Bombyx mori: one gene and its partners. The protein of the gene in region 2 purifies or fractionates together with the protein of the main gene of each other region. This does not show direct contact. Links are inferred from orthologs where the notes say so. Each region holds a gene or a part of one and is shown on either strand. Other genes may lie near its edges. The genes, in order: DNA polymerase epsilon catalytic subunit 1, NIF3-like protein and probable cytosolic Fe-S cluster assembly factor GL21135.

Region 1 (10,680 bases), on a different chromosome or scaffold from region 2:
ATCGGTCTTAGGCAGTCTGTTTTGTTATACAAATACTTCTCATATTAGCAATAATATCTTGAACTTGTGTCAAAAGTGTGTACAGCTATTCATTAACAATCGAAAAGAAATAATTGTAGTGAAAATTTGGCACCAATTGCGATTCTGTTACTTGTTTGTTCATCGCTAATAGCATGTCCCAGTAATTATAAAAAAATTTTTTTAAGCTATTGCATAGCTTTTATAATCATGAAATTCCGTAACGAAAAAAACCTAACACCCCTCACTCCGCCTACCATGTAACTCGCGTTCAACACATTCACACGTTGCGCTTGTGTAGTGTTTGTGAATAAGCGCGTGGCGTGACGTCACACTGCATGCGCATCATGAAAAGTCTGCCATCTCTCTCTCGCGCGGTCTAGCTTATGAGTGTGAAGGGAACAGTTAATGTTTTGCTTTTGTTAATGTTTAATATAGCGTGGTCTTGTTTTATTGTTGTTTTAATATTAAATTATCATTGTGTAATTATAATTGCATAAGTTGAAAAAAAATGCCATGCAATAGCTTTACCGCGGCAGTTCCCGAGTGCCACACGTTTTTTTTTTCTTTTACTTCTGATTTTGCCTCCATATTACATTCATTAACATTTCATATAGCATACCAGAAAGGATGAATTACCTATTCGTCAATATGATGTTAGGGTACATAGCGCCGACGTCCAAATGATAAATCAAAGGGTTCTCGTCCCTTCGCGGGTGCTCTTTCATATGTTGTAGTTTCGCTTTAATCTCTCCGCAGACCTCGTCGAAATTCGTGACCATCTCCAGCGGTATACCTTCCTCCACCTCTATGGCGTGCCTCATGGTCTTCTCGGTGTTCTCCAGCAGCTTGTCCACGGCCGTTGGGGCGATACGGAACTTGCATTTAATGTCCGCTCTGAATACACCTACAAGCATTTTAAGACATAATTAAATGAAAATTCGATTAATAATAAAGATTTAACCATTCAAGGATTCATCAGACGAGCTTGGAGTATTTTGTGGTATTTTGGAATAGTTGGAAGATTACATTAGATTTATACATGTACATTTTACTCTGTGTACGGATTATTTAGAAGAAATAGATTCAAGAGGTACGCCCTCCCATTGTAGCTTTGTAGAAAGTACTATATTCTCTAATATACAATCAAGTACATATAATCTAGTATAATTTAGAGCATTCATGGTCGTTTATTTTACTAATTGACTGATACAAGTGATGTCTGTAAACACAGTGACCCCTCAATCGAGCACCTAGAGCTCAAGCTCAGCCGTACCTCAAACTGATATGAATGATGTACGTTCTACTCGCGTGGTGGCGCTAGTATCGTGGTGTACGCACCGGACTCCAGAGCCTCGACGTGTCCCCCGACGTAAGTCTCCGTCTCCAGCACGTGCCCGTCGCTCGTCAGCTTGTTCAGCTCCTCCACCTGCTTGTTCGGGAACACGATGTTCGCATGGAACGCCTCGACCATCAGCAACGACTCGCACAGCGTGCCGGAACCTTTCCGGAGTACCTGACCGTGGACACGAACATTACCTCGTGGACTGACTTGGAACACACTTTGCAATAGAAATAGAGCGTTGGAAGGCGAGTAGTAACTAGAGGAAATCAGGGTACAAAACATAACTATCATCGAAAAGTGAAAAATTCACTTTCTCTCTCCGTCCCTTTATTTACTGATTGTAGGACTCATTGGAAAGCTGCGCTCGCCGATACTATCGTCTTGCATAGTTCTGCACACAGCAATATGATCTTTTAAAGCGGATTACATACCAACTTTGATTATTTTTTTAAATGAAATTCTAACCAAAACCATGACACAGGCATTTGAAAACTTAAGTATCAATAAAAAATATACCCATGTTTTTTTTTTTTTTTTTTATTGCCCTTGTAGGCAGACGAGCATACGGCCCACCTGATGGTGAGTGGTTACCGTCGCCCATGGACTTCAGCAATGCCAGGGGCAGAGCCAAGCCACTGCCTACCGTATAGTAGTCTTAGTATATAATAGAATAGAAGAAATTTACACGATAGGTTTACATTTAAACACAGTTCGAACAAGATATGTGTATTTAGTGCTAGTTTTTTAACATTCTTGATATCAAAAGTGAACTAAAATTTGTTTGGAGTTGGAACAGCGCCCCTAGCGGCCAACGTTCCAACTCTATACAAATTTGAGTTAACTTTTTCGATATCGAGAACGTTAAAAAACTCGCACTAAGCACACTGAACTAAGAGTGTATCGGGCAAATACATCCCGCTCAGTGACAGATTTCTCGTGCAAGCCATACAATATACACCTAAACATTTTATTTCTAAATATGAATTTATGAGATTTACTATAAGGACTCTTTTTCTCTATCGACGAAAACTATCGAAGTGTACTACTACATACAGTCTATAATATATAATAGTGTATACATATTATAATATTATATATTGGGGGGGTGAAAAGCTTATTTGGCTTAAGCGACATTTATGTTTATAATTAAAGGTCCATTTATTATTTTGTATTAGCATCAAAAATTCGATGTTTTTAATTTAACATCAATTAAGTAATCCATACAAATATCTGAATTTTTTTTATGGATTTTTTCCAAATTTCAAACTTTAAATGGCACTCCTGTGAAATTGCAAAAATGTCGGTTAAACCAAATAAATAACCTTTCACCCCCCGATATAATATAGGCTAATAAGGATCGTTTCTCACCTCGTCGGGCTCCAGCGGGATAATGGTGCAGAGGGCAAATATGAACGGATGCACGTACTTCATGTACAAGTAGTACGTGGCGACCGCGTCCGACACCGAGTAGTTCGACAGCACCTATAAACCATTACACAGAATCCGTTTTTTATTTATTTATTGCTTAGATGGGTGGACGAGCTCACAGTCCACCTGGTGTTAAGTGGTTACCGGAGCCCATAGACATCTAGAACGTAAATGCCATCATCCACTGGAGATATGAGTTCTAGGGTCCTCACCTTTCAAACCGAAAGGCATTACTGCTTCACGGCTGAATAGACAGGGTGGTGGTACCCACCCATGCGGACTCATAAGACGTCCTACCACCAGTCCGTCTCGTATTGCGGAGACTGAGACAGCGCGCGACCCACCGATGTCCGCACGACTCGCAACAGTGGCTATTACCGCCATACACTTCAACCTTAGTTCGATATTACAGATATTTTCTTTCTGTTTTTTTTTATTTGCCCTTGTAGTCAGACGAGCGTACGGCCCACCTGATGGTGAGTGGTTACCGTCGCCCATGGACTTCAGCAATGCCAGGGGCAGAGCCAAGCCGCTGCCTACCGCTTAATACTCTCCACAAGCCTCGTTTGAAGAAGAACATGTCATAGCGCTCGGGAAACATCGTGGAGGGGAGCTCATTCCATAGCCGGATGGTACGTGGCAAAAAAGACCTCTGGAAACGCACTGTGGATGACCGCAGTGGCTCCAGGTAGTACAGATGAACTCTACTCCGGTGGCGGGCGGCACGATAGTAAAAACGAGATGCCGGTATCATCTCGAGCAATTCCTCAGAGCACTCCCCATGGAGAATTTCTTTACCTATCTACTGTTAATAACTTCAAGGGGTTATAACTAGCTTAACCAAACGTGTAAGCGACCTTACGGGGCTCAGTCTGAGATACTTTGCTAACACTAGCCCTAGCGAGAGTCGTGCTTCGCAGAATCTACCACCGAATCAGAATGGCGACCCACTGAGAAGAATCGCAGAGAAATTCAGTGGGCTGTGTCTGTGGGCTAGTTCGTTCGTCGAACTCATCTTCGCAATCGACGGTTTCGACTAGAACGGTGACCGGTGGTATGCCTAAACGCACCCAGACTGAATTGAGAGTCTCCGAAATGACGTCTTTAAGGGGGACGATGACAATTTGTTATTCGGACATCTGGTTGGGTATGTTGGGTAGCACCGCTCACCGCCAAACGCTTATTTAATTGCATTTATTTACTCCAAATGGGTTTAATCCTTGTGAGTCTACTTCTCAAAGACGGAGGCAGGGCATTTTAGATTTTGGATGCGGCGGAAGAGAAACCACCCCCTGTAGCTTTATTTATACAATTAGGCCGTCTGAGTAAACTACGTTATGTCCTTCGCTGGACACCGGCTCCATGTTGGCAACGAATCCTGCGACATTCATCAGGTCTGTTGTTACTTAAGTACACCTAGTATAGTACTCCAGTAGGATATTTTAGAATTACAAATTAATACAAGTCCTATCGGCCAAGGATTGCATTACTTAGTACAATTTTATCAGCATCAATGCCTCAGAGCTTAAGATAGTGGGCAGTTCCTGGACCACATAAACGTTGCAGTGGGAATGTGACCTCCGTGAGACATGAGGTCGACGTGCCCCACAATGTGTGACGTCATATTGCAGAGCGGATGATGCAGTATGATTACACCTTACGGCGGATGCGGTCTCGTGCCTGCGTTGGTATTACCTGAGGCTGTTCGGACGCCATCCTGCACATGTCTTCAGGGTCCAGCTCGACGGGGTCGTACCTCAGCTTGGCTTTAGCGACCGCCTTCAGGCCCTGCGAGCCGACCGGCAGATACGAGTCTCTTTTCACCCAGCTGCGGAGAAGATCAATGTTTAAATTTTTACTAAAATCTGAATTCTGAAACTTGAATAGTGAAAAGTTTTCTGGTGGTAGGACCTATTGTGAGTCCACACATCTAGCCAATAAAAAAAAAGGTTTATTCGACTAGTTCCTATGAAGTGTTTGTAGTCTTTTATGAGTTTTATTTTTAATTAAATCTACTTTTAAGTTTTTATCTTACGGTTACTAATTTAGCTTTAATAATACTTGGCTTGGCTTATAGTTTTCGGAGGTCACTAAGCCATTCTATAAAAAACAATTATCGACTTTTATAAAACGTAACAACGTAAAGAAACCTTTACGTGCAATTATTTCGGCATCCTTTTTTTTAACTTAGCCCCATCAGTAATTTATACTCACTATTATCTACTATTAACATATTATACTAGGGGCCAATTAGAAAGATAGACAACACAGAAGCATTAAAATAAAAATAATATGGAAACAAAATTGTAAAGTCGAACTTATGAAACCAATAATCAGTTATTGTAAGTTCAATCTGACTATTACTTAAATCATAATTTTGTATAGTTCAAACCTAATCCGGAAAAGCGACTTTATGGTTCTGATTTCTAGACTTTATCTTTTATAGCAAGCACTTCTTGTATACAGTTTCTTTGTTACGCACCATAAGCAGTCCATGTGCATCGCAGGTCTGCAGACGTACGTGTTGTCGCGTGACGTCACCTTACTGAACCCTATCTCCTGCTTCATGTCCAGCCCTAGAATCGCGGCACGAGCTTCCACAAATGGCCAATCGAAGAAATCACCTAAAGCAGAATTTAGAATTAGTAACATAAATAACTCTCGGAATAAGTCTTCTTATCCTTCGGCATCCTTCGGCAAAAAAACCGGTCATAAAGTACGTCTGATTAGTTGAAGGGGTACGAGTGACTTTTTAAAATCTCTACTATATATAACCCAATTAATACACAACGAACAAGGGCAATACCATTATCGTCACCAGATCAGACCTTAGTTGCAATAAAGATTCGTTTTTCTTTTTTTTCCTACCTAAGCCGATAGCCTTGAGAGACTATATCAGCGGAACCTTAACTGGTAGGTGAGCTCACGGGGTTCAAACCTGACGACATTGCTAACACGAACCCTAGCAAGAGCCGTGCTTCGCAGAATCTACCACCGGATCGGAAACGCGACCCACTGAGGAGATCCGGCGAGAAACTCAGTGGGCTGTGTCTGAGGGTTAATTTACTCGTCGAGCCTTTCGTCGCAAGCGACGGGTTCGACTAGAACGGTGACCGGTGCTTGAGGTACTTAAAAGCACCGTTAGTGGATCGGGAGGATCCGATTTGACGTGTTTGGGGCGACGTCGACTGCTTTCCATTCTTTCCGCAGGATCGGGAATGTAGTTACCGGCGGCCACGATGAGAGAGGGTTCTCGTGTCGTGCCGCTTTATCGAAGTGAAGATTCGTATATGCGTCCAGATCTTTTTATTGCATAGTTCTCAAGGCCACAACAAAAACATAATTTAAAAGCTTTAAAACTTTTTTTACATGCCACTTAAGACTATATTCTTGATGGGACGCAATGATGAAGTCAAAATTAACAAAACAAAAATAACTAAACCGAAATCGTTTAAATCATATATTAGTAGGCAACTGTTATGAAAGTTGTGAAAATTCAGCAATATGAGCTCAGATTTTAAAATTTAATTATCAAATTATCCTTACCGTTATATGTGACAAAGATGTGTGGTTTCACATCCATGATATGATCGAAAAACTTCTGTATAAGTGCCAGCTCATTTGGTTCATTAAATACTATGAATTGGCTGTAAAAGTAATTAAATATTAACCTTCTGTATTCGAATAAGAAAAATGTAAAAAGGCACCTGTTTAAAAGTGGAACTAAAGTTAATCATACTGCTTGAGATAAAGCACCCAATTCGCAACCCATTTGCGTACCAATTTGAGTCACTAGGCCAGTTTTCTGCTCTGTTCATCTCCACCTGGTGGGCTAGCACCTTTCATGCTTTTGCCGGTTTATGGTCTACCCTCAAACCCATTCCAGTGGTCGTTAGTTCTAAGACGTGTATTTCCAATCCATCGCCACTAGCTGGCCGATTCTGTCGGCTATGACGGTTCGATTTTAGTTCCCTCAAATAACCTTAGTTAATTTTTGTTTGCATGAGTGTACCAGGCTCACCACAAACCGCAAGGAGGCGATTGTACGTGAGACGCGCAACATCTGCTCACACCAATGATACTGGATGACGACCACGACCGCTCTGACAAATTATACGACATGCGATACGATACGATAATCTTTAGAGAAGTTCCAAGCACAGCTTTTCACATAGCTGGCTGAGCAAACCTTGAGTTCATGGACTAGTTATATTTTCAATTGCCACATCTCAGAGGTACCGTAAGTTATAAACAATAGAATGCACTTGTTGTTAAATGACAATCAAGAATATTTTTTCATGCACTCTATTTGAACAAATTTAAGGCATGCTATGCTATACTTTTCTGTAACATTTTATAGGACAAAGAAGCTGAAAAATAGAACTACGAAATATTGAATCTCTCGAAACGTACCCTTCAAATTCCGGTTTAGGAGTATATTCAAAGTCTTCAACGTCGACCGATATAATTTCTCTGTTTGTTATTAAGTACCCCTGTGCATCGATCATGTAAGAGATCATCATTATTTGATCTGTTTGCGAGTCTGGAAACTTTAATGGTAGTTTTGTAGTTTCTATATCAAAGGCCAATACTATAGGATCTGGTCTCTCGATGATGTCATCTCGTTTTGTGAAAATAGGAGGGTCAGTACCTCTGCATTTCACTGTGTACCATGTGCCACAGAATATTCTCATGTCTATAGAGACTCTTACATGATATGGCACATCATGTTCCCTGTCGAAAATAGGTTCACTTTATTGATTTTTTTGTTAAACTTAAAATACAAAATTATATAGAAATAATAGAAAATTCGATTGGTATCCACTAGAAGTACGTAATTTGAAATAAAAGTAAAGAAATTGAATTTTAGAAGTAGACTTACTGAACTATACTTAGAATTGAATAGCTACAGACGGAATTCAGCTACGGCATTCAAGAAGCATCATGTTTCTGCAACTTACCGGATGTCCAAAATATTTTCCATGTGATCAGTAGTTTTCTTAGCGTGTTCGATAGCTGCTGCACTGGTTAATGCATTAGTTAACATTTCAGCATAAATAACATCTTTCTTTTCCCGCTCTTTATTTTTATTAACTGCCGTCAATATCTCCCGTCGGACTTTCATCATATCATTTTGAGACATAAATGATAATTTTATGTAACGCTGTTTCAGACCTGATAAGTGGTTCATCTGAAAATACAGTTGCATTCTATTTTTAATGGACAGTCGAAAATTTCTCATTTTAAATTACAGTTGGAGTTTGTAACATTACCACAGCTGATCATTTCTACCATAGAGCAGATGCTTTACACCAGTACCCTTTTAATACCTAGTAGACCATGAGTCTTTTCACCAAACAAGTGCAATTAGTGAAATAGAAACAAACTAACTCTTTAATTTTTAAGCTCCACCACACTGACTACCACTATATTATTATGTGGAATAGAATTAAAGTATAGTGTTCCAGACAGACAGTTGCATTAATTTTATTGTTTATGAGCTTCACTCAGTACTCAACATTATTTGGTTGTGAACTCCTCATCTGCGTGGATCAGCAAAAAAGAAAAACATTACCCTATTATGGCAGTTAGGTAATAATTTTAAGAAATGAATAATATTCAGCAATTCAATTTACAAATTAACAATAGCTTATATAAATTGAATGATACAATTAATAGAAATAACTTATCACAAAATACCAAGTCCAAATCTTCCTTCTCCAATACTTCAATCTTTTGCACTGAACTAGCAAACTTCTTAGAGATGTATTGTATAACTTCCTGTTCACATTCTCTTCTGGCCATTATTAGAAAATATGGTTGAAACATTAATGAAATTTTGAATCTGGTACCGTCCATCTCTATGAAATAGTAATCCATGGCAGCAACTAATCGTTTGTCTTCATCGAGTACCTCAGCCTAGTTGGAATGTTTAATAATAAATTTTAAGCCCTTCTTATCGGAGCAAGTAAGTCTTTCAAGTAATTACTACTTATTACACTGATAAATGAATTTTAATGCAAAAACTAAAATTTGTGTTTTCTTAAGAGAGATCAACTCACCAAGGTGAAAAGGTAATATGACGAAATTTACTATACAAGTGTTGTAGTTTTAAATGTAGGAGTCTTCTACAATATTGAAATTACAAAAAGTAATTACAAAATTGAAACTTTACGCATACTCGTTCTCATGGTTGAGGAGATGTGAATTTAAATATTTACAAATCATAATTACCGTGTGCATATTGATCAAGTAGCCAGTCCTTTCTTTTAAATCTCTCACTCGATCGAAACCATACTTTGAGTCAATTCTGTCATTCTCCAGAGCGGCACGAATTCTAGTTTCCGATGACTCTTCCCTTATAACATTAAGTTTAACGTTAAATTAATATCACAAATGCATTAACTTTATAAATGTTCTTTCTACACTTACTTGAGCCCACCTGAAGAAGTTCCTTCTCTTCTAGCAGAATCATCTTTATCGGGTCGGTATTTTCCAGTATTTTGAAGCACCATGATTAAAAAAGTACCTCGCAATATTAAACTAATCACGTACCATTATTATCCAAGATAATTTAATAATATTAAAACCTCCTTGTAAATTCCTCAAAATTATTTTGTATCAACAAATAGATTCAAACAGCTGACCAATAACAATTCAGAGCTTCTGCAGTGACACTTAAGCGCTGTCAAATTTCCCGCGAAATTGATTTTACTTTTCGAACTAAACAGACGACCAGAGACAATTTTTTTCGTGCAATTTTTCCTTATTAGGAAAAGAAAGGGATCTAAGCCCATACAGCCTTGTCTATTCTATATACGACAAATATTTTAAATTGAATTTTTTTTGATGAGATTCAATTCCATTGTTTTTCATTCACTTCAGTACGACTATACGTAATTATGTTTTGATTGGCGTTTTTTATGAAAAAACAGACATAAATTATTATATTTTTACTTAATTTTGAAAAGAAAAATATTTTCGTAAATATTTAAAATATTATCGTCTTAAAGTATATTGTATAGGTTCTTCTACAACCAAGGTGGTAATAATAGGCATTCGTAACATCCCTTTATAATATGCCAACCACTTTTTTAGTTTTTATTCTAAACCCAAAAATGTATAACACAAGAGTTCAACGTGCAATCTAGCCCATAGATACAGCTCGCTGAGTTTCTCTTTGGATTATAGCTGGGAAAGTCCACTGAAAAAGTCTCAGTAAATGACCACCATTTTACTGAGATTATATTTCATTATCACATTTGTAAATTTAATTCATTTTTAATCATTTATGTTAAGTCCTGATTAGTTTCCGTTCTTTTTCATAATTTATAAACTGTAAATAATTAAAACGGCGAATTGTAAAAATCTTTTTACTTGACGCTGGCTTATGCACAAACCGTGCCGGAGCCAAAAAATAAAGAACAAGAAGTTTATGGTCTGGTAAAATGGTTGTACAATGCAGGTGCAGGTGTATAAGTAGTAATATGTACATTTACAAGTATTTTTAAGGGATACACATGAATAGTACAAAGAATTCATCTTACGACAGCTACAATGATAGACTTGGAGAAATTCTCAATAGAAGCATTACTTCGAAAATGAGAGATTCTAGTATTGACGAAACTTTAGCGGGGTTTGGCAAATTAAGAATATCAGCCCTTACTAAAGCCGTTGAATTAAGTCCTTTAGTAAAAGAAGCGACCATAGGACCTAACAGTCCTGCAAAGAAAGAATTAATTTATGAAGAAAAACAAATCCCCGCCAAAATTGAACCGTTGCCAGAGGACCTTGTTGAAGATAAGCTCCGAGGGGATCTCGGTTATAATCTCATAATGAAAGAATGTGAAGCACAGTTGCATCAATTATCAGTGGAATTTTTCAGAAAA
Region 2 (11,270 bases):
AAGCAGTGTCGTTGATTAATAAACAACTTCAGCCGCAAGGAATTTATGATGACTTAATTAACTCAACGGACTCATCGAAAAATAGCAAACCTAGTCAAAGTAAAAAAAATTGGACAGCAAATGAAGGTAATTCCGAATTCATTAATCTTACTTAATGTATCAACTTATTTTTTTTATTTCTTTTTATTGCTTAGATAGATGGACGAGCTCACAGCCCACCTGGTGTTAAGTGGTTACTGGAGCCCATAGACATCTACAACGTAAATGCGCCACCCACCTCGAGATATAAGTTCTAAGGTCTCAGTATAGTTACAACGGCTACCCCACCCTTCGAACCGAAACGCATTACTGCTTCACGGTGGAAATAGGCGGGGTGGTGGTACCTACCCGTGCGGACTCACAAGAGGTCCTACCACCAGTTTAAATTTAATTGTTTTAATTGTTTTAAGTGTTAATTGTTTTCAGTGGAATCTAAAAATATATCAACCCCAGTCCCACCAATTTCTGCTATTATTTTATCGTACATCCCATCAGTTTTTTTTATCCTGCTCTAGGATTCTTCCAAATTCTACTCCCTTTATTTCGTATCGAAGCTCTAGCTTTCGTTCCCAAGGGTTCTGAAGGATGTCTTGCTGGATTAGCAAAGCTGTTTAACTAAATTTCCAACTTGATGAATAGATATTAAATAGGCAACACTCGTTCGTTTTGCTCTAATTCCATTTTCCATGCTCGGCACGGTATGTATACTTAAAATAATTCAGATTAATATAGATTTATTTAACAGCAGGACCCTCTTGTCCGAGATCAAACCTACTTAGTAGTAATTTAATTAAAAAACAGGATGAGAACCAACCCTTAATATATAATAATATACTTAATAACTTAACAACCGTTTTTTTTTTTTTTTTTTTCGGGCCGGGGGCCAAACCTCCTACGAGGTCCACGCGCCTAGGGGGCGCGCGGGGTATGTGAGACTCAACGATCTGCAGGTGTTGAGAGCAGATCGCGGGCCCAAGGATTTTAGGGCCCACCCACTAAACGACTCCCCTGCACTCTTACACCCGACGTCCGATCTCCGTCCGGGGTCAGAACCCGTTCAGAGTAGGGGGGTTCCCGCGGTCAACACTACAACCAGACACGCGGCGCCACCCCGAGGACGCCCGACTGACGGGTCGTCGAGGCGATAGTCGACGACCAACGACGTCAGTCTCCGCGGTACGGCGGCCTTACCAGGCCACCCGGGCGGTGCCGCTGGTGTTCCGGGATACCCCGCTGGGCCAGAACCAGCCTGCCGGGTCGGAACGCGATACACCGCCGACCGGGTTGCTCTTCAACAGTATGTTCGGCGACGACAGCGACGACGAAAATGCGGACCGCATCGCAGTCCGCAGCCGCCGACGCGCCGTCCCGTCCTCCTGGTGCCAGCGCGCTAGAGTGACGGTAGCGTGCGGCGCAGCCTCAACCCCCTTAGGTCGCCCCGTGACCATCACCGGGAGGAGACTGCCTCATCATAGGGGCTGGAGCTGGACAAACGCCCTCCTCCGGCCCCCGGCCCGACGGCGGCGGCACGGCGCCGAGAGGGAAGAAGAGCTCTCCCTCTCCCGTTCCGCCGCCTCCTTCTGCGAGATGGTGGACTCGCAGAAGTCGAGCATCGCCTGCCAAGACTCGTCGCTGCCGAGCATCGTAGCCACGACGGTCGGAAGCGACAAGTCCGGTCCTATTTTTGCAACGAGGACGCGGCGCTGCTCCGCGAAAGCGGGGCAGTTCGCGAGCGTGTGCTCCGCCGTGTCCTCGTTGCAGCCACTGCAGTGGTGGCACTTCGGAGTCGGCTCCCTCCGGGTGACGAGGTGCAGGTAGCGACCGAAACAGCCGTGTCCTGTGAGCACCTGCGTCGCTCGGAAGGTGAGACGTCCTCGGTCGCGATTCACCCAGTCCGAGAGGACCGGGCGGATCGCCTCGACGGTCTGTCGCCCGTAGGCGGGGTCCGCCAGGCGGCGAGACCACGCCTCGAGCACGGAACGCCGAGATTGAAGCTTCCGCGCTCGAACTTCCGCCGCAACTTAACACCCCTGTGTTAAGTTAAAAAAAAAAAAAGCCAACTCGAGGTTCTCCGGGCCATGTGACTTTTTGATAGCTGAATGAATAGTTCATCATTTAAGATCTTCTGACACCCGGGATTTTTTTTATCGTGGAAATAGTTTGTGAACTCTTTAAATTGGTATTCAGCATTCCTGATCCAAGGTTCTCTCCTTATAATTTAAAAAATAAATAATATAATAATTAACCTAATTTACGAATTGTTTTAAACTTTCACGGATATGTGCATTATAGATACAGACTATTATAGGGTCTTACCAGGATTTTCATAGGTCATGAATTCCCGATATAACACACAGTACAGTCTATCTACATTAATCCAACAAAACAATGGTTTCGTTAGAGAGTTGAATATTTAAATCAATGGGTTTCGTTTTCAAAATCAAAGGATTTGATACAATCCTGATCTATTTTTAGTATTTGCTACAGGCTTGTACAGTGGTTTTCTTTATGGTTGGATTTATTTCTGTACAGTAACCAATGCCAATTTCTCGATAGAGTTGATAAAAATCAATGTATTAATCACTTGACACAGACTATTACTAAGCACAGACGCTTTTAATGTTTTAGGTCCCACAATAAACAAGAATCATGTCTTTGCTACCGAGCCAATTTCGCATCAAATCAAAACACCTCTAAAAGAAGTGGAAAAATTAAACAAAACAGACTTATTACGAACAAAATTCGAGTCTGCACATTCTCCTTCCAATGATCACAGGACGAAAGCAAGACAATTACGAGAAAGTGACTTAACGTATTTCGGAGTAAATAAGGGAAGAAAGGAAGATACTGAATCAAAGATATTTAAAAGTAATCTATCAGAGGATTCTGCTATAGAAGATATCTTTCAATCTGTTAGACTAATTCAGCAAGTCTCAAACAGCGTTTGCAATAGTGAAGCTGAATCTGATGACGTACCTGAATATCAAAACTTCCATGCTACCAACAACTATATCCCAGTTCCTAAGCCTAGACTTCGTACAAGATATGAAGATAAACCTAACGAAATCCACGAAGTCAAAGTACTAAAGCCAATTATTGAACATGAACGTTCTGAAACAAATGATTATGTAAAATCTATAACGCGACGCTCAAAATCTAGAAGGCAAGAACATACAGCATCTGCTAATAGAAGCTTATCTGAACCACCGAAACGAGACAAAGCTTTTTCAAATTCCAAACAGTCATTGAGAGCAAATACGCCATCGCGGTAAGTTTGAAACGAATATTTTTAATTATTTGGAATGAAGTACAAAACTTAAAAACAAAAATATATACAAAAGATCCTAAGCTCAACCCCTTAAAGACTTAGATAAGATATACATAGTATATATCTGCGTAATAAAATTCTGTTAAGTTCTTCAAAGCGAACGCACAATAATTTCACAGTAGAAATAAACGGGGCGATTGTACCACTCGTGCGGTTTTGCAGCACATCTTACCACTTATTCTTAGACCAGAATTAGGAGGTTAATTAAGCATGATTGATTTTCTATTCTTACCAAATAACCATGGCGTGTTTTCCCATCTATTCGATTAAACCGTGTGCCGTACCAGAAAAGCCCATTATTTAGTTTTGACAAAGAATTATTTCATAGATATAATCTATTTATTTCAGATCTGTCAATCGCACAGTTAGAGAAGCTGTGGAAAGCCAAGTGACAATTGCTACCCCTCGTTCTAAGAAAATAGAAGAAATGATTCCTATTTACGAGAACCTACACCCAGGACGGGAATCTAATATTATTTATGACAAAAATAAACTAAAGCCTAAAACGTCAATAACACCAGAAGTTCCTACAAGGAAAACTTATGTAAAAAGACAGGAAAAAAGCGAAGACGTTAAGACATCGAAATTGAGCAATAATGACAGAAATACAAAGTCAAGTTCACAAAATACCAATGGGATAGGCAGTTTGAGAAGGATTTCACAGATCACAAACAAACGTAGTGAAACCAGAGAACCACATAAAGGTGAAAATGTAAGTAAAATGGAAAACGAAAAAGATCTTGAAGCGGCGCATAAAACTTCGTTCAAAAGTGTACGGCAAGTATCCACGCCTAGAAGGTCGAAAGTTGAAAATCGAACGTCATCTTCGCCCTGTCGTCCAGATAGAAATGAAACGAAAAAAACACTTGACGATAATTGCAAAAAAGAATCACAACCAGTTATGAAGAAATCTGCGGGATACGATAAAAATAAGAAGAGTTCTAAAGATACATCCAAGGAATCAGATCCACTAAAGAAAATGGATCAAAACACAATTGTATACGAAATGAAATCTGTACAAATAAAAAACGAACATAAGGATATAAATTCAAAACGAAACAGATCCAAATCTCCAAGGCGACGTGAGTATGTTATTAACTATGATGACAAAAATGGAACAGTGTCCTCGGTTTGTAAAGTTACAACCAGCCCAGGGGGTAGTTATAGAAAGAAAAAGATCTCAAAAGAAATCTTAGATAGTCCAAAAGGGCAGATACTAAAACCTAAAACAATAAACAAAATAGCGCTACGAAAGTAAAGCTGTATGCATGCCACTAATGAACGCTCTAACACAAATATAACCGGCCTTCATTTAAAATGGAAATATTTCAGTGCAACTTCCAGATCATCCAAAACTAACGAGTAGAAAGAGAAAAGCTGATAAAAATGTGAAAACGAAAGTTTATATAGAAAGGTCTTGCCAGATATTGTAAGCTAAATACAGTGACCAAGTGGACAAACTTTAAAACGTAGAGTTACATATGGAGTGTACTTAAATAGAATAAGGAAGATGATCTCGCAACTTTATTTTAACAAACCAATTTGATTGGAGTATACAACCAAGTACGCTCACGTATTTGGGTAAATAAAACATAACTATATTTAATATTTCTTTTATTTCTTACAAAAACTACCTATTTAATTTTATCTTCATTTGTACGTCTAGCAGACTTTTTACACAGTTATCAAAGGATCTTTGTCGACTTTGCTTACGAAAACCTCAACTTCTTCATTCAAATTTTTATGTAAATAATTTGCAAATCCTCGCAAGAACCCTCTTTCGGAGTCCGAATGATTCGTTAATATAACTGTTATACCTTTTTGAGCTGCATCAAGTACGTCGTGATGAAGCATTTCGCCTGCAAAAAAAGAATTCAATATACATCATTTAGAGGTCAGCATCACTTTAGTTGATATTTTTGTTTGGGCACAGAAATAGCTCCAAAACAAGTGATTTTATTGGTTGTTTCATTTATATCATATTTTTATACGATAAAGTATAAAGGTAACATAATCATAATAATATTTGCGTAATTACTGGTGGTAGGACCTCTTGTGAGTCCGCGCGGGTGGGTACCACCGCCCTGCCTATTTCTGCCGTGAAGCAGTAATGCGTTTCGGTTTGAAGGGTGGAGCAGCTGTTGTAACTATACTGAGACCTTAGAACTTATATCTCAAGGTGGGTGGCGCATTTACGTTGTGGATGTCTGTGGATGGGCTCCAGTAACCACTTAACACCAGGTGGGCTGTGAGGTCGTCCACTCATCTAAGCAATAAAAAATAAAAATAAATATATATATATGTATATATTACTTTTTTTTAAGGCATGAAATTTTAGATAATCCTCAGAGGGACGGGTATGGTACTTCTGTTAGGGGCCAAATATCGTTGACGTACTTCTTGTCCAAGTTAATATAATTTAAAACATTAATGTGTAAGTATAAGATGTACGACATAAAAGTATACATATTATACAATACATTTTTAATTAAATAGAATAACATAACATTATGTTGTTGCATGTTTTTCGTTAAAATACTAAATAAAGTATGCTTATCGAAAAAGGAAATATCTGAATAAACTGTAATGAAATTTCAGGTACTTCTTTAGCCAATAATATCATCCATTTCTTATTGATCGAAACAAAATCAGTCAGACTTACAGGTAGCACCTCTTTCCCTATTGGACGCCTATCAGTGTTCCCACCCTGCATAATATAATGACGATCGTTCGAAAAGAATCTACCTTACTCCCTATACATGATGTTTTAAAGTGATTTAAATGTTCATCTAATAATATGAAATATTAATCAATTTAATAGAATTTATCAGCTTATTATACTATAATATACTACCTGTCAAATAAAGATCAGCATCGACTCCCTTTAATACCGAACTTCCGGATCCGGCACATAACGCTACCCTCTGAACGGTGTGCGTCATAGACTTTCCCTTTGCGGCAGCGATGCGGACATGGGAGAGTCGTGTAAGTTCCTTAATTCTGTTTACTGCATCAGATAATGGGATTCCGGTGCTCAAATGAAGTAATCTACAAAAAAATATTCTCAATTAATTTAGGGCCGATGTCTTCCTGATCTAACGTGTAAAGGGTACTCGTGCTAAATGTTGCGACGGCTGTAACCGAAACTCTTTGGTAAATACCGAAGACGGCGATTATTTCAAAGACTCCTTAGAATCCATAATATTTATAACAAACAAATCAGATAAGTAGCACTCTCTTCTCTGGTTTTCAAACTTAAATATAAATAGCAAAACGTCGTTTCAAACAAAAATCTGCTATGTGCACTTTTTGAGATTTTTACTTTTTAACATTTTCGTATAGTTTACAGCCTATCTTCGTACAGTTTATCTTTATAAAAAATATACCTTATAAAAAAAACAGTTATGTGTCTATAGCTTTAATTTTTATATATAGCTTTCATTTGATATAGTTCTTAAAAAATCACCTTATAAAATTTTATACGAAAATGTTTTTACTCCTTAATTCAAAATAGAGTTTTTGCACATAGAAGATTTTGGTTTGACAGCGACGAAAATCAAAAAAATATTAATAATAAATTATTACAATAATACAATAATAATTACATTTAATTAATGCAAACATTATGAGGTCAGTGTTTGCGATCAAATTCTTATAATTGGGCGAACTTTTAACATAGCTTACCTGCCGGCTCCGAAGTCGGGGTTGTTTGATTGTAAAATTGGCTTAGACTCTGCGACAGAGAAAGCAGATGCCAACCAGTCATTGACCCCGCCTTGCACACTATCCCAACTAGTATGTGGCGAGTACAGGGCGATTCGTTTTTCTAATAAATAAGATACAACCCGTTCTTTCCACGAACTGTAAAAAATACATATTTGAAATCGCCAAGTTGTAAATAGACTTGATCTAAAGTCTTGTAACAGTTATATAATATAAATATATAATATAATATAATATAATTATAACATTCTATTAAAATAGTTTCGGCTAGCGTTATTGTATAAAAAATATCCCTCGGGAATAGTACACTAAAAGTCTAAATACAAGGTATTCTCAGTCCTTTTCTATTCTACGCACAATGTGTATACCATTTTTATATTTATTATATTAATATGGATAGGTAACCTTCAGATTTACAATTTTACAGACGGTACACTTTTGCCACCGTGCTTTTTGGCATTTAAATAATCAATTCCCAGACGTATAGTCCACCGTGATTTTAGTCATAACTAATACAGTCAAACTTGGGTAATTGAGAACTGGATAAGTAAGAAAACTCTATAAGTGAGAGTAATAGCAAGGACCCGTCATTTTAAGCTCCCAAAACCTCTATTAGCGAGAAACAGAAACCTCTGTAAGAGAGAGTCGTTTTTTCCTCATGGACCTCCGTAAGTGAGACTGCTACCTATCTATACCTCTATAAGCGACAGCCGAGCTTTATTTATTTATTTATATTATTTAGGAAGAACAAATGACAAAACAAATTACAAATTTAACATTTGCTATTTTATGACTCATTTTTAACTTTCGTGGAACTTATTATCATTGTTTTTGTATTGTTTTCTCGTGAATATTGAACCTATTCTATTTCGTGAAACTAAATAACGTTGTTATTTTATCGTATTCTTTTATCGCATTATTTTCGAATGGACACGTGTGCCTGTGTACCGTCCTGTTTGTCGGACTTACTCAGATTATCGTTAATCAATTGCGAAGGAAAGTTCTGTTCTGCATCATGTAAAAACGGAAAATTAAAGTACTGTCATTAAAGTCATAAACTTAAAATAGTGAATGCATTTGAATGCGGAAAATCGCGAATCGAAATTCAGAGGGAGCATTAGCGAGAAACTCGGGTTAGTGAGAAACCTCTATAAGCGAGAATGAGATTGTGCTCCCTTGAACTCTCGCTTATCCAGGTTTGACTGTACTTTCATTTGATAATATAAAATATATGGATACTATGCTGACAAAGTGATAAATAGCGTCAAAGACGTGTGACTAGAACTATATAAATAATTACCGCTGAACAATAGACTTCAAAGGCGCAAATATCGGAGGATGATATGAAATAATCATCTCACACGCCAGAATTTCAGCTTCCAAGGCCACATCTTCTGTTAAGTCGTTAGTTAACAAAATTTTGGTTATTTGTCTGGAATTGAAAATTATAAAAAAATATTATATTTTAAATAGGTAATTAAAAACATAAAGAAAATTAATTTAAATTTGTCAAATTAACTAATGGAAATTTATTTAAAGTATTTTTATAAGTTTGGCGATTATATGTCTGAACTTACAGGCATTTGACTTTAGCTGGTACCACTTCTACATCATCAACTCATATTATAGTTGCATCCTCACTTTGTGTTCTGTATAGATCTTTCTATAACAGGGGAGTGACTTTTAGTCCACACTGGTTGTGTTTGAGAATAGACTGTATTTTTTAAATCTTGTGATTCGCAAAAGTGCAATGGGCATTGGCCATGTAATTTTATTTATTTTTATTAAAAAGGTTTTCGAGGAATAGGTTAGCTGATTACAGAAAACCAATTTTCAATGAAATAATATAATATAATTATATATGAAAAATAATTATATACCCATGTTTTAATCAAACATGTTTGGTAATCCTCAAATAATGTCATCATTGGCTTTATTCAAAGAGACACTTTAGCCTATATATTTTATATACCCTACATACGGCTGAATTGACAGTTTATAATTTGAAACTTCAAAGCACATACAATTTCAACCCAAAGCATGAAGGTAATCATAACTTTAATACTTAAGACTTATCTATCAATTCTATGTCTTCTTCTTCTTATCAGCCCACAGACGTCCACTACTGGACACAGGGCTCCCCCAAGTCTCGCCACAAAGACCGGTCCTGCGCTGCCTGCATCCAGCAGATTCCCGCGAATCTCAATAGATCGTCGTTCTATCTTGCGGGAGGCTTGCCCACGCTACGTCTTCCGGTACGCGGTCGCCACTCAAGAACTTTCTGGCCCCAACGGCCATCCGTTCTACGAGCAATGTGCCTTGCCCACTGCCAATTCAACGTCGCAATTCTTTGGGCTATGTCGGTTATCATGGTTTTCCTGCGAATCTCCTCATTTCTGATTTATCTCGCAGGAAAACTCCAAGCATAGCCTCTCCATTGCTCTTTGAGTGACCTTGAGCCTTCTCATAAGGGCCATTGTGAGCAACCACATTTCAGAGCAACACACACTGATCAAAGACTTTCGTCTTGAGACACTGTGGTATTTGTGATGAGAAGATTTACGTAGCTTTCCGAACGCTGCCTATCCAAGCTGGATTCGACGATTGACCTCTTTTTCGAAGTTGGACTTACTTAGCAGGACAGTGTGTCCCAGTTAAATATACTCGTCAACAACTTCGAGCGTAGAGCTTCCAATTTTTACTGGAGTGGGCGCTATATGAACATTCAACATAATTTTTGTTTTTTCCATGTTCATATTCAGGCCCACTCGGATAGAAGCCCTACTGAGGTCTTTGAGCATTGTACTAAGGTCCTCCAAGGTCTCGGCCATAGTCACAATATCGTCGGCGAACTATGTACTCGCCGATGATGTTTATGCTAGCCCTTTCCAGTTCAGAACTTTGAAAATGTCTTCCAACGCAGCGGTAAATAGTTTCGGAGAAATAACATCTCTGCAAGACTGCATAATCATCTCGCGACGTTCTTCCATGAGTTTGAAAGTAGGGTCTGAGAGTTTTTTGGTTCTGTTTGCACGACGGGTTCCAAAAATCTTGGAACCGATCGTATGGACAGCATTCACAAACCCGTTATTGTAATCGTCCACGGAGCCTCCTAGGCACTCGAAGCGGTTTTGAAGTTCGAGCTGAAAGTGTCTAGAACTTTGGATCTGAGCTGGTGCTGAACGGAGCGTAGACCTCATAACTCGGAATCTCTCAAGGTTTATTGAGGTTCATTGTGCCTCTTACCACCCGATGATCACTTCCGGTTTTAATCGTATTGATCACAGAGACATCATAATAAAATCTGCGACATAATAAAATCAATCTCATTTTTGATAGCGCTATTGGGGCTCATCCAGGTCCACTTCCTGTGACCCCGTTTTCTGAAGAGGTCATCATAAATAATTCTTTCTTCTCCATGAAATCGGCAAGTAAGTTTCCCTGGTGATTTCGATGCCCAAATCCAAATGGTCCTACTCGCAGCTCCCCTTCGCACCGTTTACCGAGTCTGGCGTTGATATCCCCCATGACAATGGTGAAGTGAGTTGTAGAGCTATGCATGGCTCTGGAAATGTCCTATTACATAGTCGGAGCGTAAACCTGTATTATCTTCAACGAATACCTTTTGGTGATTCTGAGTACAAGGTACAACCACTCTGGTCGATACACTCTCGATTTACAACACATTATTCATAGGGGACTTGTGGACGATAATCCCGACACCACCTTAAGACAGATGATCACCTTCCCGAAAATAGAACAAGTTACCGGACCTCAGAATTATCGTTTCCTCTCCCTCTCTTCGGACTTCAGATAAGCCCACAATGTCCCACCGTAACCTGCTCAATTCCTCCTCGAGTTCCACAATCTTCTCATCGGTCCGCAGTGTTCGCGCGTTATATGTTGCCAGGTCCAATCGTCGTTTTTTACGTAGCCGGATCTCTGCCGGAGATTCTTAGCACCCCCTGCCCCGCCGTTACCTTGACCGCTACTGTAGCCAGGAATAGCGGAGCTGCCGAGGACTGGGCGGTTTTTATTTGTGTCAGACATGTTGGGAGGGGTTTCCATAATCGCCACGCTTGGCATGCGGGTTGGCGATCGCAGTATGCTGTTATGATACTCAGAGAACGTTGCCGCTCATTCTCTGGATAACCCGTTAGTCGCCCGGTATTATTCTTTA
Region 3 (10,059 bases), about 6.3 Mb from region 2:
ATAGCCATGATCCGTAATTTTGCTTGCAGAAATTAGATTATTCGATAAATCAGGTACATATAATGTGTCAGAAAGACTAATTTTATAGCGTCGATCCTTTGTATAAAGTTCGGCTTTTCCTTTCCCTTTAACTTCGGTCGTATGTTTATCTGAAGCTAGCTTTAGAGTGTCAGTCGCGGGGATTAAATTATGGAGTATACTTTTATCACCCGTCATATGTGACGTACAGCCACTGTCAAGACACCATAAATTGCCTTTACATTTCGATGTTCCTGTTGTTAAACAGATGTTAAATGTCTTTTCTTGACCTTTAGTTTTATTGGGGTTATTGGGTTTCTTCTTTGACCAACAAGCTTCTGTGGAATGCCCTTTCTTATTGCAATCCTTACAAAATTGTACCTTTTTCTTCGTCTTTGTGTAGAAAGCTTCTGAAGCCTGAGGTTCACTATCTTCGGTTTGCCTTCTTGCTTCGTATTCTTCTACGATTTTTATTTTTAAACTGTCAGGACTTGGTAGAACATCTCTCGACTCAATTGCCGTTCGGAAGCTATCGAAATTTGTAGGTAAACTGTACAACATCATTATACTTAATAACTCTGGATGAATTTTGACATCCATGTCTTCTAATTTACCTACTACATCCATAAAATTACTGAGATGGTCTCTCATATCTTCTTGTGGAGTCATTTTCTTTAATACTAGCTGCTTTAACAACGTAGCCTTTCTTGCCGGCCCTGAACTTTGGTGAATAGACTTAAGTTTGTCCCATACCTCCTTGGATGTATTACACCCTTTAACTTGTTTCAGTTCTGGTGGAGATATAAGTAAAATTAGCTCTGACCTTGCCTTTAAGTCTTCCTTTATGAACGCACTCTTTTCTTCGGCAGTCGTAGTTGCCGCTAACGCTTTTGCACCACTAGCGTATTCCCATAAATCGTATCTTACGAGAATCGCCTGTGCTTGTAAGCACCAGGTATCATAGTTTGATTTTGTCAGAGGTCCGTGGATCGTAACCACTTGTTTAATATCAGGTGGACATTGAACTACTAACCCTCTACAGTCTAATCAAGGGAAATACCAAAAATATACCATGTTATCAGATAATTAGAGTAGAGTATGTAGAGCTTAGAAGGCGTGACCGACGTTTTTAAATTGTCAGAACGTAATTAATAATGTGAAAAATGCCTCTGGTAAATTTACCATAGGCATTTTAATTAATTAATTAACATTACATTTTAAATCGACTAGGTCCTGACAGAGCTACTTTTAAATTAAACGCGAATTACTTTTTTTTCACCTAATTTATGAGTCCATTTCAGCGTAACCCTACACGTAGGTGAGGTCACGGGGCTCAAACCTGACGACGTTGCTAACAATAACCCTAGCAAAAGCCGTGCTTTGCAGAATCTACCACCGGATTGGAAACGCGACCCACTGAGAAGATCCGGCGAGAAACTCAGTGCTTGGGCTGTGTCTGTGGATTAATTTACTCGCAGAGCCCTTTGTCGCAAGTGACGTGTTCGACGAGAACGATGACCGGGCGAATTACTGGTGATAGCGTATTATGTGTGCCCGCACGGTGGGGTACCATCATCTTGCTTTTTCCTGCCGTGAAGCAATAATGCGTTCCAGTTTGAAGGGTGGAGTAATCGTTGTACTATAAAATCGAGACCATAGAACTCACGTCTCAAGGTGGGTGGCGGTATTGACGTGGTTAATGTTGGTGGGTTCTAGTGACTACTTAGCACCAAGTGAGCCGTGAGCTTCGTAACCCATTAAAGTAATTAAAAAAGATTGACATTATACATTGTCCCGATTGGCTTATGAAAACAATAGAAAACAATTAAATAGGTATTTAGAAAGCAGCCGTTCTTACGGCAATCAAATGCGTAGGTAATGGATAAAAACAACAGATTCAATATTATTACCAAACGTATTTATTCAATAACTTAGTTACACGAAAATCACAACTATCGTCTTTCTTATCACTAATCCTCTTATAATAATTAGAATAAACTAAATATAATAGAATACATAATAAATAGAAATAACAGAACATCAAGAATAATTAGTGTTATTGATATTCGAAGGGAAGCATTTACGCGCACAATTGTACGAATTCTACCGGATCAGACCATAATATGTGGTAACTGACACCTCTAGATTTACATTCATCTTATATAATACATGTTATGTACTTTGATGTTGACATGAAAAAGGCACTGAATTGTTATATCTCTTGATTTTAGCGGTAGGCAGCGGCTTGGCTCTGCCCCTGGCATTGCTGAAGTCCATGGGCGACGGTAACCACTCACCATCAGGTGGGCCGTATGCTCCTCTGCCTACAAGGGCAATAAAAAAAAAATGTATCGATCCATTAGCGGTGCTTCTAGGTACCTTAAGCACCGTCACCGTCCTCGCTTGCGACGAAGTGCTCGACGAGTAAATTAACCCATAGACACAGCCCACTGAGTTTCTCGCCGGATCTTCTCAGTGGGTCGCGTTTCCGATCCGGTGGTAGGTTCTGCGAAGCACGGCTCTTGCTAGGGTTCGTGTTAGCAACATCGTCAGGTTTGAGCCCCGCGAGCTCACCTACTAGTTAAGGTTCCGGTGAAATAGCCTCTCAAGGCTATCAGCTTAGGTAGGAAAAAGAAAACGCGTGATCAGTGTCGAAAATTGTTATCAAAACAAACCGCGAATGATAGTAACGATAACGTAGTTAGTAGAGTAAAAAATAAATGTTACGGTTGCGGCGCAGCGGCGCGAGCGGAGTAATACGTTCTAATTGTTCCAAGTGTAGTTCAAATTTTACCGCGGTCGACTTCATTCAAATACCGCGAACGCGATCGCGAAGTACAACGACCGCTGAGACCTCAGTGTGCTTAGTGCGAGTTCTTTAACGATCTGGATAGCGTAAAAGTTTACCCAATTTTGTATGCAGTTGGAACAGCGCCCCTAGCGGCAAACGTACGCAAACGATCCCATTCCATACAAATATGAGCTATCTTATACGCTATCGAGAATGTTAGAAAACTCGCACTAAGCACACAGATGTTGGTAAGCCGTCCACCCAGATGTGTAATTTTGAAAGTTTACCTATGGTTTTTACTGGGGCTGTACCTGACTTGTGTTTATCCAGTAGTGTTCATACTGAGCGCCCAAATTATGTTAAGTCATCGCTACACACTGCTCAGCCAAGTTTGGTATCATGTACTAATGTAAGTACACCTCCCGGAAATAATAATTTTGCCCGTAAATGTAATGTAAACTCGTCTCGTAAACATGTTGATAAACAAATTGATTCAAATTCGCCGCGTTCCGACGATATGCCTTGTTTACATCCTTATCTCGTCCTGTTAAGCAGGGGGAGTGTTTTAACCGCCCTCATGTACCTAGCGAATTTAAATCAGTATCTCCTAGTGAATTTTGTGATAATCAGTGCATCGTAAATAATAGAAATAAATGTAAAACGTCACGTGGTCCGTCACCGAGTAGGGCGACCATTATTTTTTCGGGACAAAACCAGGAATTTGGTATTAAAATGTTCGCGACGGACATGATGATTAGGAATAGTTAAGATATGTTAAAAATATTATAAAATAAGAGGATGTCCGTGACAAATAAATAGAAATAGAGAATGTCCAACTAAATACAAATAAGTTGTTAATAGAAATAGGCTAAACGTAGAAATAAGTTAAATTGTAAATATTTTATTTTGAAGATTGGTCCTCGTGGTCTTTGATTTGGCGTACGAGAGCGGGAGCGAGTCATAATAGAGCGAGACAAAAATGGGCAAATAATAGAGCGAGCGAGGCGCCCAAGAAAACAATAGACACCCACCGCGCCAAATTTTAATGGTCATAGTTCTGTCACCTTTTCGTCTGTAACTTCTTCGCAAAATGGCAACGCGCGACGACCTATTTTAGGTATAGAGATTTTAGGAATCCGAGGTAGGGGTTTAATCGACACCGCAGCCAAATTAACTGTTGCCGGTTCTTCACTCTACGCCTTACTGCAACAGCATAACCAGCCTTTTCTTCTCTAGTTCTATGCGTGTTAAGCTCGCCGATGGTTCAATGCAAACACGACAAATGCTGTCAAGGACACTTGATGTGAAGTTATTACCGGGTAAGATGATTCTCATAGAATTCGTCGCATTCCCGGACGCTCAGGATAATGCCACATTATTGGGTGTAGACTTTTTAGTAGCAGCTGGTTTAGCCTTCGACTTCGATACTTCGACATGGCGCTACCAAGGTTTTGAACGAGTTTTTCCATTGGAGTTCGAGTATTCCGGTGACCTCACGCCTTGTTCCGCTGTTGATTTTTTAAGAGAAAACGAGGAAACTATGCTGTACCCTCCCGAGCGTGACCGCCTAGCTACTCTTCTGCAGTGCAATGAGGATGTCTTCACACCAGGGGGAGACCCAATGCCTTACGCTGAATATCATAAAGATGATAGGAAGTTGCAATCCGACAAAAGTCGGTTATCTGGTCCCAGTTACCAAGTAGGTGATCTAGTCCTTCTCTCTATGCACTTGTTAAGTGATGCCGCCAAAGGTAGAACGAAGCAGTTCATGAATAAGCGTGAAGGACCCTACCAGATTAGCAATATCATTAGTCATACTACCTATGAGGTTACTGATTTGAATTCGCAGATTTTAGGGAAATTTCATGCTTCTCATTTGAAGCCGTATCGTAATCAAACCGGTCAGGTCTCGGCTCCAGTACAGCCTCGACGCCTGCGTGGACGGCCGCGTCTTGTTGCTTCTGCCGAGCCACCAACGAGGCATTCTAGTGACTCGGAGGGGGAGGATATAACGGAACCAAGTATCCGAACGTGCGATACCGCCCCCGCCGCCGCCTTGCCCCCCGCTGAGACAGAGCTCTGTCGCGCGATGTCGACCGGCAAAATATTGTACATCTTAGCTTTTCTTAACTTTTTATTTTTATTTTAGTTATTGTGACGCTTTTCTATTAAAACCACATACAAATCAGTGTCATTTCCATATCTTCTTCGCAAACAGCCCGGAACACCGAACTCACAAAAACTCACAAAAGCCCCACCGGTCGGAATTTTAGTGTTAAAAATGTTAATTTTAAATGCTCAGCGAAGCGGACGGGTACAGTATATCAATATATACCTTCGCTTCGGCTTCGCTTCTATACCTACTCGTGCTACTCAAAGAGTTTTCTTTTTTTTTTTTTACTGTACTAAGTAGTTAGATCCGCTACGTACTTAGTGTGTAGTGTTAATACGTGAAGTGTGGGCATTGAAGTGGGGGTTGGGGTGTGAGTGGAAAGATGACGTATGATAGGCCTAACTAAACGAAAGAAGTCATTTATTAATTTCTAAGATGGTTGGACAATCTCATGGCCTATCTGATATTAAATGGTTATCCGAGCCGTTTGCCGCATGCAGTCCGAGAAAGCAATTACATGTAACTTTGAAGAAAATAATGGTGACTTTTTTTTTATATATTGATATTTAGTCGCCTAGTTGTGAAACATAACTCTAGTATAAATAAAGACATTTGACGAAAACACTCTGAATTCAATTGCACTTTGAAGTAATGCACAGGGTAATGAACCACGTTAATTCTGCGGTAATGTAGCGGCTTGACTGTGTCCTCGGCATTGTTGATGTCCATGAGCGACGATGACTAATTACCGTCAGGTAGGCCGTATGTTCGTCGGCCTACAATGATAAAGTGGAATTAGAAGTTGGTCCCCCCAACCCCCCGCGGCGCCCCCTCCCGGGCAGTCAACGTGAGCAGCTACCACTTAATATTAAGGGCGATATCGGACTTTTCGACGGCGCGGTACGTGGTGTGCAGGACGGCCTTGGCTTTATCCGAATCTTTCCCGTCGAGCCAGTCCGTGTACAGTTTCCTCAGGAACTTGTTCTCGACGGGCGTGGCCAGCGGTAGCTGCGAGTACAGCGTCTCTAGTCGCAGCACGAGCTCGCGCCCCGCCTCGCCCCCCGCGGCCCGCGCCTGGCCCCCCCCGACCCGCACCTGGGCGCCGCCGTTGAGGCAACCTGAGAGCGGGGGCGGCCTTATTATAATACTGTTTTAGGTATTACACAGCTAGCTAATTTGACCTGTCCAAATTTTAGCATAACAAAAAAGGTTAAATATTTAAAAATTCGTAAACGTTGCTCAGACTATTTCTTTTTTTTCATAACATTCTCTAGTTGCCCGTAAAACAAAATTAGTTAACAACAAAGAAAATCGACTTCAACTGTAGTAAAATGAAAATATCAACAATACTACATTGGGTCAATTAAAAAAGTATTATTAAGAAAAACCATAGGTCAAATCTTGATAAAATTGAAATGGGATCACAAGAGAAGTATCAGCTTTCAAATAAATAAATCAAAAAATCTTCAAATTAATTCACGAAGATAAAAGTTCTGAAGTAATAAATAAAACTGTTGAATCGAGAACCTTCTTTTTAAAGTCGGTTAAAAAGTAGCCAACTCACTCACGATCTGGTTTCTTACTTCTTATCTCTGACTACATCGGATAGTTAAGCCTTTGCGTCCTTATTCCTAATTTACCTACCTGAAGGACAAGCCATGACTTCGACGTAGTGGTAGGGAGACTTCCCCCTCTTTAGTTTCTGGACAAGATTCTGAATGTTTCTGAAGCCGTTGGCGATCGCGAAACGAAGCACCTCTTTGCCGTCTCTCTCTAAAGTCACCTCTTTGAAGTCTGGATTCCTGGAAGATGTTATAAAGCAAAACATATACATATTTCTGTTTTATGCGGTTTGATTACAAAGACCAAAGAACAATAACAATGGACCTGGTAGTTTTCAATTTATTCAAATCAAGCCACAGCCTCTTGTCTCAAGCAGCCTAGCGACCTTTAGCTCATGACGTGTATGTACTGCACGTAAACTATGAACTCATCGGTCATTTAAAGAATGTAATTTTGCTGTGTCACCACATGAGGCGCCACTGACGCGTGGACTTGCGCAAACATTGTCCGGCGACTCCGCAGCTGGCCACCACGACCTCGTCTTTCTAACGTAACCATAACAGACTCACCTCAGATTCCTATACACGAGTTGAGCATCGGTCTCTCCAAAGAGTTGTTCGGCTCCGTAGAGGAAGACATGGTCGGCGCCGCCACCAGAGCCGGAGCCCCGGTGTCGGCGGACTGCCCCTTCACCCCACGGACTGTCCAACGAAGAGCTCTCCGCATCGTTTAGTGACATGTTGCTGTTGTCCAACATTTGTTCTAGCTCGACTAAAATTGTCACATTTATAGGGCTGCCCTGACTTTTGTTTAACCATTTATTTATTAATATATTTTGCTTCTAGAATTTATCGTAAGATGAGTCGACTATTATCAAAGCCGGCAATCTGACTTTTGGACAATGATTGGTAAATCAGAAAAACGAATTATTGACTTTGTATTCCATTGGCAGTCACAAAACTCTTCGGAACGACATCTTAGATAAATAACAGGTTAACTATTAACCTTTATTTAATGCAGGTTTTGAACCGTATTCTTTGAAGGAGACGATTATATTCAAATCAATCTGTATTGACATATCAATAATTTTTTTTTGTCCAAATGCACAGATTGCCACCTTTGATAATAGACGACTCAGATATTACAAATCAGCCGTACATGTGTCTTGAAAAATTACAATGCAAATAAGGAAGCTTCATTAATTTATTGCACAGCTGTCTAAATATTATAAAAGAAAATAGTATTGAAAGAATTATTAATTCTCATAAACAATTGTATACTTACTCGCAGTTATGACACAGTCTACATCATGACAGCTAAGCAAATCATTGTAAAATTCCTCCCGAGATGCTTCTAGTTTCTTATCGTAGCACGGCATGACGGTCACGTGGTACACCTCTCCGGGAGTAAGCTCCTTAGTACGGGACAGGTATTGCTTTACCAGAGAACCCATTATTTGTTGTGGGGATTTTGTGGTGGATATGTAGGGTAGTATAAAGTTACCGTGCGTTTTTTCAGCATAGCACACCCAGCCTGAAAATTGTTGATTAGTTGGTTGGTTAATTGTTTTTAATAAGAGTTTTCGTATAAATGTAAATCTTTATGAACAAAGCCACCATCTAACGTCAACTTGAAATATAAAGTAAGATATTAATAACTGCTCAATTTTTTTTTAATTGTTATTATTTTATAGCAGCAGAAATAGGCATATAGTACCAATAATATTTCCAATTATATTCTCAAACTAAAGCATGCTTACCAGGGCACGAACTGGCTAACATCGGAAGATATTTTCCATTGGGATCAGCCTGTTGATCCTGATACCTTTGTACAAATTCTTGCTGTGCTTCTAACAGAGATAAGTCTTCTGCTATCGTCATGTCAAGAACTAGATCTGCTCCAAGACTTTTAAAGTACCCTGTGATAATGAATTAAAAGTTAGACATTGTAAGGACCTCCAAATAACCAAACCATCTTGTAATTTGTTATTACAATTAAATCTACATAACCTTTAGATTTGTCTATGGGACACTTGGTGTTTGGTTACAAACAGAGCTTATTGACATCATATTGTGACTGTTGGTACCCACCTTGTTACAAGAAGTTTCATTGTAATAGAGGAATACAATACATTTGCCATTTATGTATCACATATGTCAAACAAAATCCTCAGAAAATTTATTTAGTATCTACTGCAAACTGAGCAGTTTTTATTTAATTTGTATTCATAGCAAAGTGATGAAATGTGAATGTATTTTGAAACACAATACAGTTACTTTCTGCTGAGTATTTCTGGAATGTTTTCATTACAATATCATTATAAATATAGACCTGCTAATTTATTTGTGGCATGTTCAGGCGGTAGCTTGTACCTAGCTGCTAGTGACAGTATGGGTTGCGGCGACAGAGATATTACTATTAAACTAACATCCTTCACCACTCCTTTACTGTCTGTGTATTTACGGTCTGAAAATACCCTGAAATTAAAATATGTTTACTATGCAAAATATAATTAATAAATTAATTATATTTTTGTTCCATGAATAGGAACTACTATTCATTTAAGTGTCTAGTGCTACTTGTAGGGAGGACTACAGTCATCGCACCTGTTTTTGCCAAAAAGCAGTCATACTTTTGGTTTGAAGAATGGCACAGCTCTTATGAAATATACTTGGATTCAGTGTCTCACAGTGGGTGCTGGCATTCACTTAGTGATATATACAGGCTTCTATAATCTTTCTGGACCAGGTGGCCAGGAATTAATAACCCCGTCAACTCCCCCCTTATTTTTTATACCTTAAAAGTTATTCCTTCTTTAACTTGTTAGGCATTTCGTGATATTATGTTAGAAACTCTCTTTGGTAATGAAAACTCATAGGACTTACTTAAGTAGCTCTTCTTGACTTTGTTTAGTAATGAGCACACTCTCAGCAGATGTGATGCATCCACTGCACGCAAGACAGTCTGCTAAGGTGATTTCAACTTTCTTCAACTTCTGCTCTGTTCCGCTTGACACATCAAAGTACCCACCTTCGCCAATCTTTATTTTGGCACCTGTCTTTGTTTTAGATTTGTCGATTTTGATTGGTTTTACGCATTCCTAAAAATGTTAACTTTATGATAAATTTACTGATTGATTCACTTTCATAAGTTTGCTTGATGTTAATACTTAATACTCAATGAGTTGTTCACTCATTTATTGTTATAGTACTAGTTTTAAATAGAGTATGAAATAGTAAAAAAAACTTAATACGATAAAAACTCTGATTGTTAAATTCAGAATAATTTTTACTTTAAAGTCCCTTTTGTCTCAATTTTGATTCGATAGTTAGTAGTGCTTGTATAAATTATAGTATATTATGAATAATTATATTATCAAAGTAGATTGGTACAAAATTTTAATAACAATTCAATTAAAATGAAATGAATTGTTACAAAAAAGTTATATTTGAATTGTTTTTTTTTTCGCCAGCAAAGGATTTTATTGATAACAAAAAAAAAACATACCTGTGAAGGAGTTATGAAATCGTCAAGATCCGTAAGTTGTAATGCACCACTAAATCGAGATGCCATT

Evidence for each region.
Region 1: the proteins of NIF3-like protein (region 2) and DNA polymerase epsilon catalytic subunit 1 purify together in Homo sapiens (affinity purification with western blotting; 3 studies listed by BioGRID, with this or other methods). This does not show direct contact. The link is inferred for Bombyx mori from reciprocal best matches to the Homo sapiens genes CIAO1 and POLE.
Region 3: the proteins of NIF3-like protein (region 2) and probable cytosolic Fe-S cluster assembly factor GL21135 purify together in Homo sapiens (affinity purification with western blotting; 3 studies listed by BioGRID and IntAct, with this or other methods). This does not show direct contact. The link is inferred for Bombyx mori from reciprocal best matches to the Homo sapiens genes CIAO1 and CIAO3.

The regions. Positions count from the first base shown.
Region 1 is NC_085131.1:3,949,752-3,960,431, reverse strand, and holds the start of DNA polymerase epsilon catalytic subunit 1, read right to left. Parts: upstream 9,526-10,680; 5' UTR 9,307-9,525; coding exon 9,224-9,306; intron 9,150-9,223; coding exon 9,026-9,149; intron 8,711-9,025; coding exon 8,492-8,710; intron 7,983-8,491; coding exon 7,753-7,982; intron 7,526-7,752; coding exon 7,205-7,525; intron 6,439-7,204; coding exon 6,338-6,438; intron 5,416-6,337; coding exon 5,274-5,415; intron 4,620-5,273; coding exon 4,487-4,619; intron 2,846-4,486; coding exon 2,732-2,845; intron 1,535-2,731; coding exon 1,360-1,534; intron 926-1,359; coding exon 658-925; intron 1-657. Other genes in the region: mRNA export factor Gle1, read left to right, coding at 10,312-10,680. UniProt on the Homo sapiens protein: Catalytic component of the DNA polymerase epsilon complex. Participates in chromosomal DNA replication.
Region 2 is NC_085116.1:9,592,468-9,603,737, forward strand, and holds the end of NIF3-like protein, read right to left. Parts: intron 8,523-11,270; coding exon 8,391-8,522; intron 7,229-8,390; coding exon 7,052-7,228; intron 6,416-7,051; coding exon 6,222-6,415; intron 5,227-6,221; coding exon 5,042-5,226; downstream 1-5,041. Other genes in the region: uncharacterized protein LOC101736312, read left to right, coding at 1-126, 2,668-3,307, 3,716-4,625. UniProt on the Homo sapiens protein: Key component of the cytosolic iron-sulfur protein assembly (CIA) complex, a multiprotein complex that mediates the incorporation of iron-sulfur cluster into extramitochondrial Fe/S proteins.
Region 3 is NC_085116.1:15,942,674-15,952,732, forward strand, and holds the end of probable cytosolic Fe-S cluster assembly factor GL21135, read right to left. Parts: 5' UTR 10,059-10,059; coding exon 9,993-10,058; intron 9,586-9,992; coding exon 9,371-9,585; intron 8,963-9,370; coding exon 8,817-8,962; intron 8,404-8,816; coding exon 8,245-8,403; intron 8,019-8,244; coding exon 7,770-8,018; intron 7,257-7,769; coding exon 7,055-7,256; intron 6,725-7,054; coding exon 6,567-6,724; intron 6,041-6,566; coding exon 5,778-6,040; 3' UTR 1,915-5,777; downstream 1-1,914.